Linked DNA regions of Drosophila melanogaster. The protein of the gene in region 2 interacts with the protein of the main gene of each other region in a pairwise test. Each region holds a gene or a part of one and is shown on either strand. Other genes may lie near its edges. The genes, in order: GstT4 and CG8032.

Region 1 (11,410 bases), on a different chromosome or scaffold from region 2:
CCATGAACATCTTTATGTTCTTCGTGAACGATCAAGGAGGTTGGTGTCTAATACAGCAGCAAAACGAATGGGATTGCTTATATATATATATCTATGTCATTTGCAGAACAAGAACTGGTTACCCCACCGCTGAGCGGTCTAATCCTGCCCGGTATCACCCGCGACTCCATCCTGCGCATGACCCGCCAGTGGGGCAAGTTTAAGGTTAGCGAGGCGAACATCACCATGCCCATGGTCTGTGAGCTCCTCAACCAGGGAAGGGTAAGTAATCTAACAGAGCATTTCCCCCTCGAACGAAACTCATGCGACACTTACTTCTCTTGCAACAGCTGCTGGAGCTCTTTGGTGCGGGAACGGCGTGCGTGGTTAGCCCCGTGAACAGGATCAGCTACCTTGGCCAGGATCTGTATATACCCACCATGGAGCAGGAGAAGCCCGTTCACGAGCTGATCCGCGAAACGCTCACCGACATTCAGTACGGTCGGGTGGATCATCCGTGGGCGGTGGTGATCGACTAAGTCGATCTCCCAGCCGATCCCAGCCAGAAAGCATCCAACCCCAGAGCTGTTACCCTTTCCCGTTACCTTACCGCATCCCTTTCCCGTACCGTGTATTAGTAGGATTTAGTGCCAAGTGTTTTGTGGGTCGCCAATGTGCTCGAATTTGTTTCGTTTATTGTGCATGTGTCTATATGCTTGCATATATCGGATATGTACAATATATATATATATATATATATTATATAATATAGTAGGATATAAGTCGAGGGCCGATTCGTTAAGTTGCATTTAAATGTATATTTATTTATTTATGTCAGGAATTCGAATTGTACATAATTCCAACTGGTTCAATGTTATTTATAGTTTCCCTAATTATTTTCATATTTTTAGTTGTGCGCCTTTAGATATATATATATATATTTTTTTTTTTTTTACTTTATCTAAAGCTATGAATCGTCTTTTTGCGCTTTTACTTCCAAGCAGCATCGAAAGCAAGGTAAAATTACCAACTACAAATTTTAGGACTAGTATAAAGAGATCGAGAATTCCCCCATCCAAGTGACGGGAATTAATTGAAAACGTACCGGAGGCGAAATGCATTTATTAGTGAGTAAGTGATCGAAGCGTTCTTGGAGGTAAAAGCGGCACGAGAGGCACGAGGGCAGCAGCCGAGCTGAGCTGTGACTAAAGCTAATCTGAACCTGAACCCGTCAGTAGAACCTAGGCCTAGGCTGTAGATACTAAACCCGAATCAAGCTGTATACTATATCTGTAACACCTAGTTGATAAGCGAACCAAGCGATGAATAAACGATGACAAAAATCAAGAACTTATGCTCACAACGATTTGGCTGCAAATGGTTATTATTCGTACACTTTTATTGATAAGTATACGATATTTTCAACCTTATACAGTTTGAATATGTTTGCATTTTTCATTTAAACTAAAGAAAAACAATCAGTATCCTATATTTGGCTAAGTTACATTATGAAATTTAAAGTTCGACACCTCAACAGAATTGTAAGCGCCATCTATCGGTTGGTAGCGGACGGGGGAGGGCAACTCATTAAATAGTCAGCACAAAAGTATGCTAAAATATATCACAGAGTTGCAGGATATCGAATTATGTTTTACCAGTTGAATCACCACCCTCATGACCTCCCTAACCTGGTTTTGACCTAGAAAGTCTTAGTTTTAAAATTCATTAGAATAATCAAATAAATAATAATTACTATGTTATATCAACTATTATAATTCTCCCTATCATTTTTAGGATTAAAAATCTGTTAGTCTTAAGTAACCAAGACACATTGTAAAATAAAATAATTTAAGCAGATCAAATTAAGTTGCCGCATGGGTAACAGTGCGTTGATCAAATAATAAAAACATCATCATGAATAAAAAAAAAAAAAAAAAAAAAAAAAAAAAAAAACCAGTTGAATGTATTTAAACTATATTTATAAATATTTTTTGAGTTAAATGGCTTTCGTTCTACAGTTCAGCTTTTCAGGAATACCATGCAGTCCATAAATAATACATAAATTTTAAGAATTTTTATGGCATTGGCCATGAGACGTTAATTATTTGCTTGAGTGTAAACAAATTCGAAATTACTTTAAATTACTTTAAATGATTCGTAAATGGGTGGTATTCTCGAATTTTTTTTTTATAATGCAACTTAAATAAAGCATTTGTTCTAAGACCCGTTCTGCTTGTATTTTGAAAATCATTGGAAGGAACTTTGAAATGAAATGAGCGCAGTCATTTGAATTGAAGATTATTTAATACAGTCTACTGCTTATTGTCGTTCTTCGTAGCCTTCTTAATCAGATCCAGAGAAATTCAATGGAGCAATCGGCTCTAGCTCCGTCTGGTTGTTGACCAGTGAATCATCGGAGTTAAGGGACAACAAATCGAGTTCAGTCAAGTCCTGTGCCTCCAGTTCATCATCGTCACTTTCCAGATCTATGCGTTGCTGGTAACCGCCGATCAATGTAGACATATGTTCACCACTATCGTTTTTCCTGCCATAGCCGAACTTGCTAAACTTGCCAATCTTCTTTTCGCGCAATTGCTTGGGCGTCAGGACGACCGGCTTCCAGGTGAGATCCAGAATGGACTTATGGCCCACATCCTCCAGTATGCTCTGATTGGACAGCTCGCGACCCTTGTAGGACAGCCGACTGAAGCCCATGGGCACGGACATGGCTCGCCCGATCCGTGCCTTCAGGTTGGCCACCGTTCCGAAGCGATCCACATCGTAAACCGTCTTCTTGCCGTCGCTCGTCTGAACTAGAACTTGCATCTTACGCATCCTAATCCAGATATATATATATATATATATGTATCTGGCACGTCGAACTGCAACTTTTTTCGTTTTATACACAAGCTCTAAGTTTTGCTTCGTTCGGATAAAAGTTTGCTCTTGGAATCCCCTATCAAACTGTCGTCGTCATGCGAATGCTAGTGCGAGTTAAATTTAATGGCATCCTTGATTACCTTATTTGATTTCCTTTGTCGATTCTCCAATCGAATTTCATAAGGAGCAATTGGCAACCCTGAAGTTGATATATTCGGCTATTCCAATTTAATAAAAATTCATTTTCGCGCTTTAACCCACAACAGTTGCATATTCTTTGAATAGTCACTATTTTTGATTTCGACGTGAAAGTAAAATATTTTCAATCAATACAGGTAGAGAAAACTCATAAGAGCGGGGCTCCACTGCCCAGCGGCCACGTGGCCTCCAAGGACCAGAACGTGAATACATTGAGCAAATCGATCCTTGGCGAGGTACTAAGAAAAGCCTTTAATGTGAAGGCGTGACCCGTTCAGCGCGGTTTGCTCTCCTCCGCGATTCATATGAACCTCTGACGAATTCGATGCCATAATTTTCAGCTGCCAAGGTCGTCTTTCAAAAATAAATATAAAAAATTAAATGTTTCCAACTTTTTAAGTTAGTAAGTTAAATAATTAGCAATAGAAATTAACTATTTTTTATAGGATAATCATAGCGAAATTTCTGAAAATGCACGAAATGAACAGCTGATCAAAAGTGAAGTGTAGTGCACTCTATTGAGCCATTATCGTGGCAAGTATCTTTGTGCCAACTGTTGTGCCACCTTGTACGGACAGCGTACACTTGTGACAGCGAATGCATCTTAGAGATACAGATACATCCGAAGACAAGGCACTTTGGCTGGCACTTCGGCCCAGTTTTATCAGCTCAACAGTTGAACAAAAACAATTCGCTGACCGATATGGAAGGTATAGTTGTGTTTCTTGTTCTTGTTGGTATTTTCTGTTATTGGCCCCGTTTTTGGTAAACAAGATAACACCGCACATCGTAGATTCGTTTAGTGGGGTGCTGTGGGGCTTGGGATCGCTGGGATCCTCAAAACACTTATTAATACTAAGCATTTTCTGATTGGAAATCGTCGCCAGATAACGCACGAATATATCAAAGCTAGTCCAGTACAAAGGCGAAAGAGCCGAATACCGAGTCAAAAAGAAACCAGCAAAACAAAAACAAGAAAAGCCGCAGCAGCAACAAAATACTAAAAGCAAAACAAACAGCGATAAAATCGAACAGCTAGGCACACTTGAAATACCCTATCGAAAATTGGGAAAGCCCTAACACATGGATTTAAGCCAAGTGTTCGTTAAGCCCTGAGTAAATGCATCGAGTTTAATAGCGGCAAGGGAAGCTATATGGACTCTATATGACTTTATGGTTAAAATATAAGCTGCTTGTAACTATCGCATTTATGTAAGTTTTAGTATGAATTTTGGTATACGGCCAAGAAAATGAGTAATAAAACCTGGTACCAATTTTCACCACCATCCGATTGGTAATACCCGAGTTACGATAGGTAAGTTTTGCATATCCCGCTCTCTTTTCGCTGTGGGCCACACCCTCTTTTCAAAGGGGCATGCAGTCGCAATGTCTCGATCTCAGCGAAAGGGTAGCGCCAGTGTCAGCAGAGGCGGAGCAGAGGAGCAGCAGTGGGGGCACCATATACAATGTACATATGCACAAGAAGCCGGTCTTTTTTGTCTCTGTTTTTGTTTTTGTGTTCGCTTTGTTTTTTTCTCTTTTTTTTTTTTTTTTTTGTTAGCATCTTGTTGTGATCGCAACGCTGCTCCGCTGGCTTGTTTTTGCGGCGCATTTAATGAATGCGCCCCGTTCACCCCTCCCCTAATACTTCACACACACCACACACCGTACACCAAACGCCATACACCATACACCATACACCACACACCACCTCACCCCACCCACCAGTTTGCTGCGCAGTCGGCGTCGACGCAGCGGCATTGCGTTTAAAATGTCGCAGCGACGGCGCTGCGGAGCTCAGTCTAGCAGCAAAAGTCCAGCGATACGGTTCCAAAGCGATCTGATCTCAGTTTCGATTTGAATCCCCCGATCTGGAATTTCGAATTTTGGATTGTACTGCAGTGCATTGAAGTGCCTACACAACTTTTTTTTTCGCACCCACTCTAGTCACTTGGAGAGAGCACACTGTATATAGTTGGAATATATATATATTAGTATATATCAACGAGATGTCGCAGCCACTCAAGTTCTACTTCGATTTCCTGAACCAATCGAGCCGGGCGCTCTACATCCTCCTGGAGGCCTCCAAGATCCCCTTCGAGGCCATACCCATATCGATGCTCAAAGGTGAGTAGTACTCGCTGTTAAGAAGGGAGTGGTGGTGGGCAGGGAGTACGTGAGCGGTGGCACACACAGCCACATCTATAAGACCAGCCACATCTATAAGGGCCCAAAGGTCGAACCAACCGACCAACCGACCAACCGACCAACCGACCGACCGACGAACACATTCCTATGCATTTATGCTGCCCTTTGTTTTCGATATTTTTCGAGTCGGCGAGTGAGTTTCCAAATAAATTTTCCGCTCGTTAAAAATTCCACAATCCAAACGAAAAGTTTCCAAGGCGAAAGCGGGCAGACGTCGTTTTTGAAATAGTGTCACTCCATTCGAAAACAATTGAGGAACTGTGGAACATGGCGAGATTAGACGAACATATGTATTGTACATACATATGTACATATGAGTTCAATGCAAACGTGATTGTTCTCAAAAATAATTTCTTAGCAAATGATAGATAAGATTAAAAGGAATCCCGAAACGAACGTGAGGATTCCTTAGAAAGTGTGTGCAAAATAATTATATTTTTTTTTTTTGCAGAAGTGTTCGAGCATTATTGAGCAGTCGCACTTTGAACGTGTTTACAGATAATCTTAGCCTTTGGGGGCATCCAAAAAAAAAAAAGAAAACCGGCTAATTGCCTTCTATTCACGCTTTTATCGCAGGGCAAACAAACTACAAACTCAAATATGGGTTTCAAAAATATACAATATATGTACATACTATATATTATTCTTGATTCAATAGTATAGATTCAGTACTGTACCTTAAATTCGCAGTGCACTTTGCTCGTGTTTACTCCGCACGAGAATTTAGAAACCGATCTTTGCGCTGGTTTTATCACCTGCTCGCCAAACTGGGACACTTATCAAATTTTCGATGAGATCCAGCGTTTTGTTAGCCACTTTGTTATTTCCATTACCATTCGCTTGAGTTTTGTTTTCCTTCATCATTTGTTGGATGTGGTTTTACTATTTGCCAAGCTGCGCGTGCGCTTAGCACTTTTCGATGATTCGCATATGGTATCAATTTAGGAATGGAGCTAAGGTAAGGAGGGTCTTCACACCTCGTCTTGGTCGTTCTCCACTTGGTCAAGGTTGGCGGAAATGCCATAAAGTGCAGAATTGATGCGAGGATGCAATCAGCGGCCACATTAACGGCTGCATATATAATTGCGATATGTGGATAATGTCGTCTCGCGTTGACGTCAACGCTTTGGCATCGCGTAAGTTGATAGCCACATAAATAGGTATATACTGGGATATCAACTACTATGCTAATCCCAAGGAGAGCTCCCCCAACTCCTCGATACAATGTTCGATTCCCAGACAGGCCTGCCTTTTTTGTTTTTGTTTTTTCTTTTCTTTTTCTATATATGTACAATATATTGGTTGGTGCTGGCACTTGGACTTTGCACTCCGGTGAGCCAGTTAGTTCGCTTAGAAATCAGAGTCGTCGCTGCACGCGAGTGGAGGCAACAAGACAACCTTGTGGAGGTTAAAGACTCCGAGGCGGGGGCAAGCACTTTCAGTAGTTTCAGCACACATGCACACACATTCATAGAGTGGAGCTAGCTGCACTAGCTTCACTAGCACTGGTGCTCGGCTCACCCGGTTTTTTATGCCGGTCCGAGCATGACGCAAGGAATCTAATCTGGCGGGGAGTTTACGAGCTTCACTGCAATTCGGATCAAGTGGAAATCGAATAGAGCTCTCGATTGGGCTATTAACATCATAAACAATGATATTTTCCAACCCAATTCGGTATGCCCTTCAGATTGTTATCTACGAGTGGGCCTACCGATTTGCCAAGCAATCTGTGGTCTTCAAGCTGAGTTCCCAGAGGTCATATAAGGTTATGGGTATGCAGGTTGTATACCTTTCTAAAAGTAACCGTAACGATTTTGACTGCACTCCATGGGCTCAGATACAAGATACTAGAGTCCCTAGAGATCGGAGCAGGTTAGACGGGTTAGTTGCTCGATGGGAATATGAAACGAAGAGAATATTATACTATATACGCTGATATTGGAATTTACAAAGATTATAGTTTATGAATAACGATGGGTAATAAGCTACCAGAGATAAGAGCAGCTCTTTTAATTAGCTCCTGGCCATATAGATTAATTGACTGTCACAATGCAACTGCGATAATGACCCTCACGAGCTTCCGGCTGCCCTTTCTATTGCGATCCCTGGGTCAGCTACCAACCATCAACTCAGATCTTGATCAGCCAGTCAATCACGAATCTCTCACGAATCGCCCTTTGCCTGGATGGAGGCCAGCATATGGTGGCTTTAATTTTCCAAATGGCAGCAATTATAAAATTGAAAAATTGCCGCCGCCAATTCCCAATCTAATCAGCTGATGTCGGGAATCACAGTTTGCCACTAACTGCCGCTGCTGACTAATCAATTAGCTTTCCACAAGCCACATTTGCCCAGTTAATTTCTTTGCTATATTCACACCAGAAATCATGATGTGTATTTGTGCTCACCCATCCAGATGGCAAATACTTAAACCAGAACGGGTATTTTTAGAGCCGGAGGCCTCGCAAGTGCCGCACGATTTGTCACTCCTCCGCGGAACGAACCCCTTTTCTATATGACACCACTGACTGCCCTCACGCCCACGATGACCTTGGTGGGCAGGAAAAAACAACAGAAGCAGAAACCTAAACAGAAACTAAATGGCTCCAAACAGGCGACATTGACAATGACTTTGACTTTCGCCGGCCAGACACGCCCCTCTTTTGAGGGCATTAAGTTCCACATTTTCAATTCCAATTGCGATTCCCGATTTCAGTTCCCTTATCGTTCCTTATCAGGTTTCTCGAATTCGGGCCGTGATTCGGCGGGGCACCTGTTGCTGTGTAGCAATATCTCGTTGGGATCAGGCGATCGGAAGACCAAAACACGCAACTTAAAAGTTAAAAATAAAAACAGCTTTTTAATTAGGGAAGAAATTGGTGTTTGTTTACAGATATGCGCATTGTAGATACATGCATATATATGACAGCTTTAATAAATTAAAAAATATATATAGATATTACCTAATATAAAAGGCTGTCTCTTTCAATTTATAATGGTATATTAATGTGCTAATTATATGTGATTGGTTCACTACTAAGCTTATAAACAAGGTCATCTGGAAATTGTTGAAGTTAATAGAAACCCTCTCCTTTTCCTTTCCCTTGATTTCCCGATTCCAGGCGAGCACCTGACTGGCGAGTTCCGGGACAATGTGAACCGGTTCCGCAAGCTGCCGGCGATCACGGATCACGGCTACCAGCTGTCCGAGAATGTGGCCATCTTCCGGCATCTGGCACGCGAAAAGTTGGTGCCGGAGCACTGGTATCCGCGACGACATCTCGGCCGTAGTCGCATCGATGAGTACCTGGCCTGGCAGCAGACCAACATGGGTGTGGCCACCACGGAGTATTTCCAGCAAAAGTGGCTGGTGCCGTATCTGCAAAAGACCCGGCCAGCCGATAATGCGGTAGGTGGCGGCACCTCATCCCTCATCCCTCATGCTGTGCTCCAATGCCCAAAACTAATCGCTGTCCATGGTTATTTACAGGTGAATCTCGCCAGCAAGCAGCTGGAGCACACGCTCAACGAGTTCGAACAGCTATTCCTCAACTCCCGCAAGTTCATGATGGGCGACAACATTTCGTATGCGGATCTCAGCGCCATCTGCGAAATCGATCAGCCGAGTGAGTAGAAGAATACAAGAAATCCATTGGCGCACCTGATACTAATGCCTTGGCATATGCCTGCTTCGCAGAATCCATTGGCTACAATGCGTTCCAGAATCGCAACAAGCTGGCGCGTTGGTATGAAACGGTGCGCGAGGAGCTGGGTCCCCACTACAAGGAGGTGCTGGGCGAGTTCGAGGCCAAGCTGAAGGGCAGTGGCAGTGGTCAGCAGCAGGGCGTCGCCCAGGCGGTGAAGCAATAGCTAGGACCGTCCGCCGCCAATATTGTTTAGTTCCCTAAGGCAATCGACTATTTAACCAGATTATTTTTTTTTTTTTTGCGCTACAACTATTGCATTTTTGTGATTATACTTGCTCTTCCTATCCAATAAGTCTTAGCCTTTCCATCACACTTGTTTTAACAATACCATTTGTGTCACGTAATGCTCATCTGTTTAAACGTACGAGAAAAACTTATAATCTTATATATAAACTTAGTTGTTAATTATGTATTTTAATTATTCGTATATAAAGTACGCTTATGTTTGTTTAAATATCGACTTTTTTTCGCGAACATAGAACAGAAAGATGCCATACATTTACATTTACGCTTTATTCGACTCGATTAACATTTGTGTTGGGGGGTGGATTCGCTCTGGGAGCGGTGCTCGCGGTTGTGCGGAATACTAGGGGTGTGTCTGCACCATACGTCTATATATGAGGTGTACAAAATAGGATCTGCCTGGTCATATCACAATTGAAATTTGTATACACAGATTGAGAAATGCTTGCTGCCCATGCACAAGAGAACTTTCACTTCGCCGCTTTACTTCATCGTCGGATCGGGGAATGCATCGCGCGGCGGCTTGAAGCTCAGCATCATGATGTGTCGCGCATACGACTTGGTGGCCCGGAAAAGGGAATCGGTGCCATGGAGGCGATCCAAGACGCCCAGCACGCCGAAACAGTTGTTGAATCTGTCGGTTGGCAAGGAAAACAGCATATTAGCCTAGTTTATATCACTAGTTGCCAATCAATTACTTTAAATGGTGAAAATCATGCGCCTCGGGACTGGGAAAGAACGGCAGATGATAGCCGGAGTGGGCGTTGAGTGTTGAAAGGATGGCCAGGGCGAACCACAGCCACGCGGTGGCCACATGGCTGCCCATGAGAAAGACGCCCAGGAAGGGCGGCAACAGGTTGCTAAAGATGTGCTCAATGGGATGGCAATAGATGGCCGTCACCGAGATGGGGGCCGTCCACTCATGATGCTGCTTATGGATGTACTTGTAGATGTGCTTGTGGTGCAGCAGACGGTGCGAATAGTAGAATCCCAGCTCCTCCATCAGGATGCACACGGTCAGCTCAAAGCAGACCCAGTGGAATGTGGGCAGGTCACGAATGTCGCTCAGTCCACGGATCTCCATTAGTCGATAGCTGGCATAGGCCAATGGTATGCCCACGAATATCTGGTTGCAGACCACGCACCAGATCACCTGGAATTCGGAGGGGTCAGACAGTGGGATCAATTGAATATAAATTTCTCGATCGATCGATCGATTGCATTACCTTTAGCAGACGACGAACCTCCACGGGCTCATTGGTGCCCGGCTGGATCTTGTACTTGCGCAGACAGGCGGGCCGATTGGTCAGGTCCATGAAGGTGTACAGTGTGCCCACGGTCCAGTAGACGAGCATCGTGAATATGGTGGTACCGAAGACCCAAAGAACCATGGGCTCGTCGCCTGGAAGATTTGTTTATTTCAAATTGAATTAATAGCTGGCGATAAAAGAGTCTATAAGTGATGCCTTAAAGTATGCAAAGTTATAATTGGAATCCAAAATTTAAATAGATGCATAGTGAATTGATTCATATGAGAATGGATGTTATTAAATCTATAAATGTATAAAGAAATATCCAAGCAACAGCTGGATATAAATCATATGTAGACCGTAAAAAAAAGCAGGCAAATAAACCCATAAAGATAAGTGGCTTAAGTAAAGTTCTTAACGCAATGAATCGTGTGAATTGTAAATTGTAAACGCTGTAAGGAAAATGCAATAAAACGGGCCTATGAACCCTGTTTACTCAGCTTCTGACTTTGAGCTTAAGCAAAATCGGTTAACCGATGAGCCCGGAACATTGAGCCCATTGTGCAATGCGTGAATTAACGTATTTACTCTGGCCAAACAGAGTTATGGTTAAATAATAAGTGTGGCTAACCCGATTGGGGTGTGTGAGTACTAAACATTTGTTTGCTGAAGAATTCAAATTTGCGTGAGTAACGCGGCGATTCATTTCGCCTAATTGGCAGCACTTCTGGTTGCATTTGTATCTGTATCTCTTGCATGTGTCTCTTTGTATCTTTGTGCCCGTATCTCTGTGTCTGTGCGATGGAATTAGTAAACAAAACAGTTGTTGTTGACATTTTGCTGTGTCGCCCAGTGGCTGAGAGTTGCAATTTGCACAGTATCGCCCATGTACACAATGTACACAAAGAGAGGAGCAAAGTTTACCTGTCAACTTATCCATTCTTT
Region 2 (10,134 bases):
ACCGTCACAAAAAAAAAAAAAAACGAAACAGAATGGAAAAACTAATGGAGGCGATAAAAGTGTTTTCCTTATCAGCATAGTAACTTTTTTATTTACTGTTGCAGTAATAATTTGATCGCGTCTATCCGAGATATAATTACATTAAAAGCCATACAGTCGTAAATCTCAAGTGTAGGGGATCATTCCATTACTATTCTCATCCCTCTCTTTCCAATTCCACTCCCGTCACAAGCTGTGCTTTCCAACACTTGTATGTACATATGTACATACGTATATTAAATGCCTCTGTTTGATATGTAAGTATGTTTGTTTTTACCCCATGTACATATGTATGTGCTTTCGGCGTTTTGAACGCCACGCACAAAACAAAAGCAAAAGAAATTAAAAGGCAGTAAGAAAAACCTAACGTTTCAAGGTTGTCTAAGGTCAAAAAATATTAGCTCACAATTTAAGGTAGGTGAACGCGGCTTATCACTGAGCACGCAGGCAGGGCAACAAATTCGCAAATTCACTAAAGCTACTGGACAACACGTGGGTTGGCAACTGAATCCCAGGAGGGGTCACTAAAGGAACCGGTCTTCCCATATTTTACTTCTCACATTCATACAAACATAGATGCATAACTATGTATATGCGTAACTATTTTTGTTTTATTTTCTTTTGTAATGTTTCAAAACACATACATATGTATGTATGTATTTAGCAGCCCCCTCAAAAACTTTTTCGCACCCACCCTGGAAATGGAGGGGGTCACCTTTGAAGCAACAAGTGCAAGGTGCACAACTTTTAAAATTCACATCTACACAAACAAATCTAAATACGCACACTTTAATATGCCTATGGACTTTCAGTTATTGATAAACTTACCCCGATTTGGAGGCCTGGGTGGCGTTGATAGAGTGAATTCGCAGTTTCTGGGCCAGATCTTTCAGATCCTGGACGGTCTTAGCTTCGGGCTTGTGGTACGACATCTTTGAAATGCGAATGTAAATTGGATCCGAACAAATGCGGTTTTTGATATGTTGCACAACAAAACTCGGGAGTTTCGGATTCGTTAGCCAAAGGGTGACTCCTCTATGTTTGCAATAGACAGACAAGAGTATCGACGTGGTGGATAAGTAGCTCGAGTCGGAGTTATCAACGGACCACTGCTGCCGGCTTCTGGGAACGAACTGCTCTCGTCGCCGGCACTTCGGTCGCTTTTACGCTGTGGGGGCTCAATCTTGGGAGCGGACTCGCAAAGTATCGGTATCGTCTATCGTCGGCGCTGGAACGAGATGGATATATGTATAAATATGGCATCTTTGCTCGCACACCACCCCTTTATCGGTGCACAGCTGTGGGTGGGTAACTAGTTAGTTTCAAATAGTGCATTGCTGCCTTTCTAAATTCATGCACAATTTTGGTCTAAAATTAAGCCATGAACAGTTGTACCTGAATATTTTCTCATTAAGATTTACAATGCTTTAGTATTTAATATAAGTTTACAAGAATTTAAGGTCCTATTTTTCTGGCCGCGAGTATTAAAGAGCAGCGGTGTTTAAGAGAAGTGCCCTCTCTTTTTGTCACTTTCCCCACCTCGCTCCTGAACAAAAGGTGAATTAGCCGCAAGCGAATTTAACCTTCGATAGCTCAGTTGGTAGAGCGGTGGACTGTAGTTGGAAAAACATGCAATAGAAATCCATAGGTCGCTGGTTCAAATCCGGCTCGAAGGATCGAAAAGATATAAATACCTTTTTTTTATATATTTTGTAGTGCACATACCTTTTTTTTTATATATTTTGTAGTGCACAATTTAAATCAATTTAATTCATCTACAGACATTCAGAATATAACTGAGCTGTTTAAACTAAATAATATAAGAAGGATTTTATTTGGAAGAAATAAACCGTAACTAAATTGATATAGTTTGTGAAAAGCGCCTAGGCTATTAGGCTTGGAAACTATAGGCTTACTGCAATGGACTGAATAGAGAAAGTTGATCAATTTTGTTTGACCTAAATAAGTAAAAATCAAAAATAAATAACCAAATACGGTGCATTTCGTTTGTGCGCATGCATAAAACGAACAACGGCCAAGTTTGAACTCAACCTTCGATAGCTCAGTTGGTAGAGCGGTGGACTGTAGTTGGAAAATTATGCAATAGAAATCCATAGGTCGCTGGTTCAAATCCGGCTCGAAGGATTTTTTGTAATTTTTTGTAATATCCAATTCGTTTTTGTTTTTATAGTAGCACCCGTACCCCATAAAAAATATATAAAATAGTATGCAATTATAAACATGTAGATGCAAAAGACATTTTATAAACACAATGTTATATAAAATGAATAATAATTTGAAGAATATCAATTTTAAAAACACGTGAAAATGAACATGTCTTACTTTACGCGTACATCAATATATTATTTAATTTTAGCTTAGCAACAATCAAAAGAAAAGGTATTTGAACGACATGGCATATGCTGTCCGTGACCTCAATCCATTAAAAGCTAAAATACGCATTAATTAAACCGATTACCAACAAAAGTTTATTGAAGAGTCGCGATGAATCGGATACCCGTTGTTTAACCTACTCCCCAGCACGCCCCCTTCGATAGCTCAGTTGGTAGAGCGGTGGACTGTAGTTGGAAAACATGCAATAGAAATCCATAGGTCGCTGGTTCAAATCCGGCTCGAAGGATTTTTTGTCGAATTTTTTACAAGCCATTTTTAATGCATTCTTGAATTCAGCTTAGTCAATCCTTTTCATTTCCACCTACCTTATCCTTATTAGCTTTTTTACCACACCTTAGCTAAGTTCGAGTAAATGTATCCACAAAAAATTTACGAGTGCAATGCGAAAGACTTTCAAATAATTTAGGATATCTACATATGTTTTGAATTATAGACTTTTGTTGGCCTAAAACCAAAAGCACAACTTGATTTTTATAATACAGATCTCTCCCCATCGTTAAAAAATCAAAACTTTCTTCGACTTGTGTTTTACTATTTAAAATTATACATTTTCATTCAATAATTTATTTATTTAATTTATTTATTTATGCGTACAAGTCGATATTTTTGTCACAAATACAAATAAATATGCAGATCCAAGTGTTAGAACGGACTTATGAATACCAACTTTTCCTTTTCCGCCTTAAAGAGTCAACCAATGCATAATTTAGTTAGCAAAATAGTTAACGTTAACAATAGTTACTTTCAAATATACATTAGTTGCACTCATTGTTCGATCGTCTTAGTGTCAACCTTTTGGTGCAACCTTTTCTACGTTAAATACGAATTTATAAAAATAGGCAATATATTTGTATTCATACACTTATGGTTGCTAATCGGTAATTAGGTCTAAACAACATTATGTCTTTGTGCACACTTTTTCGTCCAAGTACAGTGAAAGCTGCTGCGGGTGCACGGTCTGTTCGAGTTGGCAGCACATTGATCAGCTCAGCTAATTCGTAACTTTTATTTATAGTAATGTACAAGCGGGTTCCAAATAAATTACAAAATAATTGCATCAACAAAATAAAACAAATGCTCACAAGGGATGTACAAAAATGAGTTAAATCGTTTTACGACGCTAGCAAAATAAATTACAATCGAACAAATTAAATATCACTAGCTAAAAAGCGTTTAAAGAGTGTACAAAATAACGTTAATAAATTATAATACAAAATCGATGAGTGGTCGTTGATTAGCTTAGACTCAGTCCAGGGCAATGCCCTGTATCCAGGCGCTCAGATCACTGCCGTCCGACTCCATGATGATTTCGTCTGGCTCATCGCTCGCCAGCAAATGCTGCGCTGCCGTCCGTCCGCTCAAATAGGCGCCGTGTACGGTAGAGTAGAAACTGGAATGGGTGTGCTCTCCGGCAAAGACTATGGCGGGCTGGGGAAATATATTAAAATGTGAACAATTGCCGGGGAAGCAAGCTTGTAGAACTGACCTTCATGGCTTGGGGCGTGGCATAGAGGGGCTGGGCGAGGTTCTCGATGTCCTCCTGAGTTGCGCCCACCGGTATTGAGGTGTATGCGCCACCGGTGAAGTCCTGCGACTTCCAACTGGTACTACAAATAGATTTTTCTTTAATATACAACATTCTTAACCAAATAATGTTTCTTTGCCTTACCAAACACATCGCTTTGGCTTGGGCACGTAAGGATCCTGCAGAAAGTTCCTAAGTATTTCCGTACACTTTTCAGCCACTGCCTCATGGTCGAGCTTCTCCATGTACTCCGCCTCCCGGCCCGAGACCCAGCCCAAGAGCAGCGTGTCCGTCACCTTGGCAAACGAATATATCTTCTTGAACCAATTCTTGCTGAGATACGCTTCGCTGGCCAGCTCCTCCTCGGAGCTGTTCATATCCCGCTTATCGTCGTCCCACAATAGCATAATCTCTGATATATCGGCACTGAGGAATGGTCGCTCGTACTCCAAGAAGATCTTGTCCACGGTGCCGAACATGAGATTCTCGATGGACTCCTGTTTGTACTGCGGCAGCACAGGATCGAAGAGAGTGCGATGGGTGTTTTTCAGTACGCCTAGCGGTATGGTGCATATCACATGGGCTGCATGGAACACTCGACCGTCCTCGCAATCTATGCGCACGTTGCCTGCAGGATAATCACAATTGCTGCTGGTGTTGGACTCCACGGAGGCGCCACGAATTTCCCCCGTCGGCACTTCCGTCACCGTTCGTTCAGAGTCGTCTGAATGCTCGTCCTCCGAGTTCTCGTCGACTGTCTCCAGCCCAGTGAAGGTCTTTTTCCGCTTCCAGTGGATTTTCTTCACCGGGCATTTGGTCAGTATGGACTGCTTGGCTATCTGAGCACCCAGCGGTCGCAGAATAGAGCTATAACCAGTTGGCAACACTATATTGCCTCCTTGTAGCTCAGTGTAGCTGCCTAAAATAAAATATATATTCATATTGTATATACTTTATTTTTAGCTTAGCCTTACCAAGTTCGAGGAGATCCACCTCGTCCATGTTGTTGCAGCCGGTAATGCAGGTCTCTCGCTTGAGCAGGCAGTTAAATATGGATTGCTTGAGGCGTTTTTCCTTGGGATCCTGGACCCCGCTCAGATAGATTTCGATCTCATAGTTAATGTGCTCTCCCACGCTGTGTATATCCGGCGGCGGGCTGTACTGACACAGGAAATACTCATCGCACCGCCTCAGAAAGCAGACGTACGCCTCGTAGATCTCCTGAAGTATGTTAAAAGGCACCTGGTGCCCGTCCTCCGTGGTGGCCACCACCTTGTGCGGTTTCGGTACGTTGACCACGCTGACTAGACCATGTTGTACGGCCAGCTCAAAGATGGGATTGCCCAGAACGCCGTGTATCCAGTTGGCGCCAAGTTCTATCTGTGAAATAGAAGTGTTTAAATAGGAACATCTCAGATAAGTAGGCAAAGCTTAACATTTAACTTTCTAGTATAAAAAAGATAAGAACTGACCTATATTAGATAATTTAGGGGCGTAATTAGTACATGTGAAGTGAAACAATGTGGAAAACTGGAAAAATAATAAATTTTTCAGTCCCATAACTAAGACTACGTGATCGTTAGCCCGCAAACCCGTGAGTTTTTCAGGGCATTGCACTAGATACGTCATCATTGGCTTAATTCAGAAAACCCCTATCTAATCTGACAAACGTTGCCGAAGAAAGTTGTATAACAAATTTCTTGATAAGGTGCCGCCAAACCGATCAAAACTATGCTAATGAACGGAATGAAAATCGTGAGTAAGATTCACGACAGATGCAATTACATTAATTACCCCCATGTAAGCATATGTAACAAATAAAGCTAACAATAGGCAAATAGAGGGAACAGGAACATGTATAAAAATAGCTTTAATGAAAAGCGTGAACAGCTGACCGACTGCGCAGTCCGTGGAAAAATCTATAATCAACTGGCTGGGGCGAAGAATGTGTTACAACATGCTCGTGGTTTTTCCGAGTCGGAAGTGTTTTTCCTTTAATACCATATGGTCGCCTATGATGGTTTGTTTTGGTTTTTGGACTTGAGGGGGTTATATAACAAATGGTACCTTCTGATTATTGCTGAGCGGTATGGACACAATGCGTCCGCCCACCCGGCCCCGTGCCTCCAGAATAAGGAAATCGTCACAGCCGTTTTGCAAAAGGTGATTTGCAGCCGATAGGCCAGCCATTCCAGCTCCAATGATCACGATCTTAACGTTGGTATTATTCCCTGAAGTTTGCGGCTGATCCCCGGCTCCAGCAGACCCAATATTGGCCATACCCTCCTCCGTGGGCGAGGGAGCGGGTGTTACGGGCTCCTCCTTGTCGCCCATTGCTACACTTTGGCTTCTATGTACATAAGCGTTTTAATTGCGGATACCCGGTGTTTATTTGTTATTTTTCTAGTATCTTTCACGCCGCATTTCAATTTTTCTGCAGGTTTTTTCGCTTGGCGAGTCGCGCGACTGTTTTGACGTTTACTTGACAGTAGGTTTATGGGTTGGGGGAGGTAGCAGCGAACAGCTGTTCGGCTGGGTGGTAAATATCCAATTTTTTTTAGTAAACATTGTGTAATAATAGTTTTATTTTTATGTATGGGAGTTTGATAAGCGATTTTTTCAGAAAAACGTATTTTAATTGAAAGTTTGAAGGATAAGTTTTACGACAGCTGCTGGTCGCAGTATTGCCAGACTTGAAGCTTATAAGGGTAAACAAGCCAGCTGTCATTTTACAGCACTAAATGTATCGATACTTTAACGTCTGTGATTTCATGAAACTTTTGATTTTAATATACATTTCAAATTGAAGATTTGAATTGTTTTAATTAAGACACTAACAAGTTTATTACAAAGTATTTGAAATAAAAAGTAATCGCTCTAATCACACTCCACTTGTTATCGACCACCTGCCAGCACTAACAGAGCTGCCAGACAGTTCCAACGACCTATGTACACGAATTACTCGTCGCGCTGATAAAAACATAATTTTTGTAAATAAATGCATGCGATGTGCAATGCAATAACGTAATCGCGATTTCAAAGCGAGCTATGTGATTAACGAACGCTTCGGACAACGAAAAAGCCCACAAGATGGCCGACGCCTACTGCCTGACGAACTTTATTGATTTTTCGCTGTCGCTGTCGCTGCCGCTGAAACACCACAATCGCATCAAGGTGAGAGCAAGTCAATCCAATTGAGTCTCACCCGCAATTTGATAGCAGACCATTCACTAATGCACGCCCTTCCTCCCTTCAGTACACCTGCTTCGACATCTCCGACAGCTATATCATTTTCGGTGCCTCATCCGGATCGCTGTATCTGTTCAATCGGAACGGCAAGTTTCTGCTCTTGATACCAAACAAGCATGGAGCGATCACCAGCCTCAGCATATCGGCAAATAGCAAATATGTGGCTTTTGCAACGCAACGTTCGCTCATCTGTGTTTATGCCGTGAATTTGTCCGCGCAGGCCACGCCGCAGGTGATCTTTACGCACCTGGACCAGTCGGTGCAGGTTACATGCATCCACTGGACGCAGGACGAGAAGCAGTTCTACTATGGCGACTCTCGCGGACAAGTCAGCCTCGTGCTGCTCTCCTCGTTCATCGGACACAGTCTGCTGTTCAACATGACAGTGCATCCGCTGCTCTACCTGGACTCTCCGATCGTCCAAATTGATGATTTTGAGTACCTGCTGCTGGTGTCCAATTGCACCAAGTGCATTCTGTGCAACACTGAGTACGAGGATTACAAACAAGTGCGTTTGTGCGCTGGTGGCTAAGCCAATCTGATCACATACAATCGATAAACTTTTACCTCATGTCATATTTTTCAGATTGGTAACCGTCCGCGGGATGGAGCCTTTGGCGCCTGCTTTTTCGTCTCGCCGCAGGAGTCTTTGCAGCCATCTCGTATCTACTGCGCCCGACCAGGCAGTCGCGTGTGGGAGGTGGACTTTGAGGGCGAGGTGATACAGACGCACCAGTTCAAGACGGCCCTAGCCACCGCACCGGCAAGGATTCAGCGACCTGGTAGCGGAACAGACGAACTGGACGCCAATGCCGAGCTGCTGGACTATCAGCCGCAGAATCTGCAGTTCGCAAAGGTACAAAGGTTGAACGATGACTTTCTGCTGGCCTTTACAGAGCTGGGACTATATATATTTGATATTCGACGATCGGCGGTGGTGCTGTGGTCCAATCAGTTCGAGAGAATCGCCGACTGCCGCTCCTCGGGATCGGAGATCTTTGTGTTTACGCAGTCTGGCGCACTTTATAGTGTCCAGCTGCAGACGCTGCAATCCCACGCAGTTTCTCTTATACAACAATCCAAATTGCTGCCTTGCGCAAATCTACTACGCCAGCATGTCCGATATTTTGCGGACAAGGCTCGCGAGGATTACGAACTTAAACAGCTCAATCCGCTGAAACAACTACTCATCGAGCGGCAGGAGTACGAGCTGTTGAACGATATATCCGTGATATTTGATGCCATAACTCAGTGCACAGGCAGTGCTTTGGATACGCACAGCTCGGGAGGCAGTTCAGCCACCACTGAACGCAGTTTGAGCGGCGGAAGTTCATCGAGAGCTCCGCCGAAGGGAGTGTACGTGCTGGAAAACGCATTCTGCGACAACTTGAAGCAGCCTCTCAAAACGGGACACTTCAAGGATGCGCTGCTGACGGTAACTGGTAAATTCGGCAAGAACATCATAAAATACAAGTTCAATATTTTTGCCGAGGAACAGCAGCAGTTGGTCAGGGAACTAATTCCAGCCAGCGAGCGTTCTCTGCCGTTCAAGGACATCAAAGCACGCTACGAGTCGGGAAGCGAGGATCAGGAGGAGGAAATTGTTAGGCGCTGTAAGAAACCGGCTCCCCAGGTTCCCCACATCAGTCCCGAGGAGAAGACTCTTTACAACCTCTACCTGATCGCCAAGAGCGCCAAGTTTAGCCGGACGCAGTGCGTCGATCGTTATCGCGCTGTCTTCGACGAGTATGCAGCTGGCGAGCTGGTGAATCTGCTCGAGAAACTAGCCCAGGTGATGGTAGAGCATGGGGATACGCCTGACCAAGCGCAACGCAATTGCTACGAGATGTATTTCGATTACCTGGATCCGGAGATGATCTGGGAAGTGGACGACGCTACGCGGGATCACATAGCTGCCGGATTTGTGCTGCTAAATACTTCGCAAAATGCGGAGATTGTCAAGTGTGAGCATTGCTCGTTCCCCCTTCGCTTCGATACCTCCTGCCAGTATCATGAGCTTGGAGCAGTGCTCCTGCGATACTTCTGGTCCCGTGGCGAGCAACTGAAGTGCTTTGATGTTGTTCAATCAGTGCCGGCACTATTAGACGTCTTAGCTAAATTTTACCTAGCCGAACAGAATCTCACCAAAGTGGTGGCCATCGTCCTCAACTACGGACTCCCCGAACTTCTGGCTGACGTGGGCAAACAACTGAGCGTGAGCGCATGGGGCCGCTGCTTCGAACAGTTCGTGGAACTGCAACGCGGCGGACGACTGGTGTGCGCCAACTGCGAGTGCATATCTGGCGTGGAACAGGAACAGTTGGGACGCCACTTCTTCTACAACTGGAACTGTTTCCTCAACATCGCTCTGGATCACATGTCCGCCGGGGACACGCTGGCGCTGATCTTCAAGTGGAGCTCATACATTCCAAACGACGCTATCGACCGGGAGTTCTACTCCCGCTGCCTGCTCAAGGGCTGAACGATATGAAAATTATTATTATATACATATATACGATACTTTATAGCCATATTTATTGTTCCACTAACTAATCTCAAGCTAAGGCCAATACCAAAAGCATTTATTCTATATAAACATGTACATTCACAATATGTATATTCTGAAGACGAAAGTGAATGAATATATTCCAGAGTTCGAAACTTCGAATTTTAGTTTTCTTTAACAGACTTGGAGGGAACTTGAGTATGGAATTGTTTGGAAATTTTTAATACCTATTTTACGGCAATCACATATATATACTAAATTTCAAATTTAATTTGAATTTCTTTGACTTTTGCTTCAAATAACGAAATGGGGTACAGCGGCTGACGCCTTATAAACAACTATTCCTAAACATAAACACAAACATTTTTGGCCTTTAAGAAACAAAATTTAACTGCCCAGC

The links.
Region 1: the proteins of CG8032 (region 2) and GstT4 interact in a two-hybrid assay, tested with the Drosophila melanogaster proteins (one large-scale study listed by BioGRID).

Annotation. Positions count from the first base shown.
Region 1 is NC_004354.4:13,399,901-13,411,310, forward strand, and holds GstT4 (glutathione S transferase T4), read left to right. Parts: upstream 1-4,848; 5' UTR 4,849-5,066; coding exon 5,067-5,184; intron 5,185-8,387; coding exon 8,388-8,674; intron 8,675-8,755; coding exon 8,756-8,891; intron 8,892-8,962; coding exon 8,963-9,135; 3' UTR 9,136-9,423; downstream 9,424-11,410. Other genes in the region: Bcat (branched chain amino acid transaminase), read left to right, coding at 1-39, 107-261, 330-518; CG12725 (uncharacterized protein), read right to left, coding at 2,323-2,814; CG1998 (uncharacterized protein), read right to left, coding at 9,699-9,849, 9,914-10,368, 10,442-10,617.
Region 2 is NT_033777.3:8,660,662-8,670,795, reverse strand, and holds CG8032 (uncharacterized protein), read right to left. Parts: upstream 6,682-10,134; 5' UTR 6,314-6,681; coding exon 6,047-6,313; intron 5,735-6,046; exon of another isoform or gene 5,464-5,734; intron 5,360-5,463; coding exon 4,954-5,359; intron 4,899-4,953; coding exon 4,124-4,898; intron 4,062-4,123; coding exon 3,941-4,061; intron 3,883-3,940; coding exon 3,700-3,882; 3' UTR 3,024-3,699; downstream 1-3,023. Other genes in the region: CG8036 (uncharacterized protein), read right to left, coding at 868-971; p (pink), read left to right, coding at 7,070-7,153, 7,236-7,736, 7,815-9,710.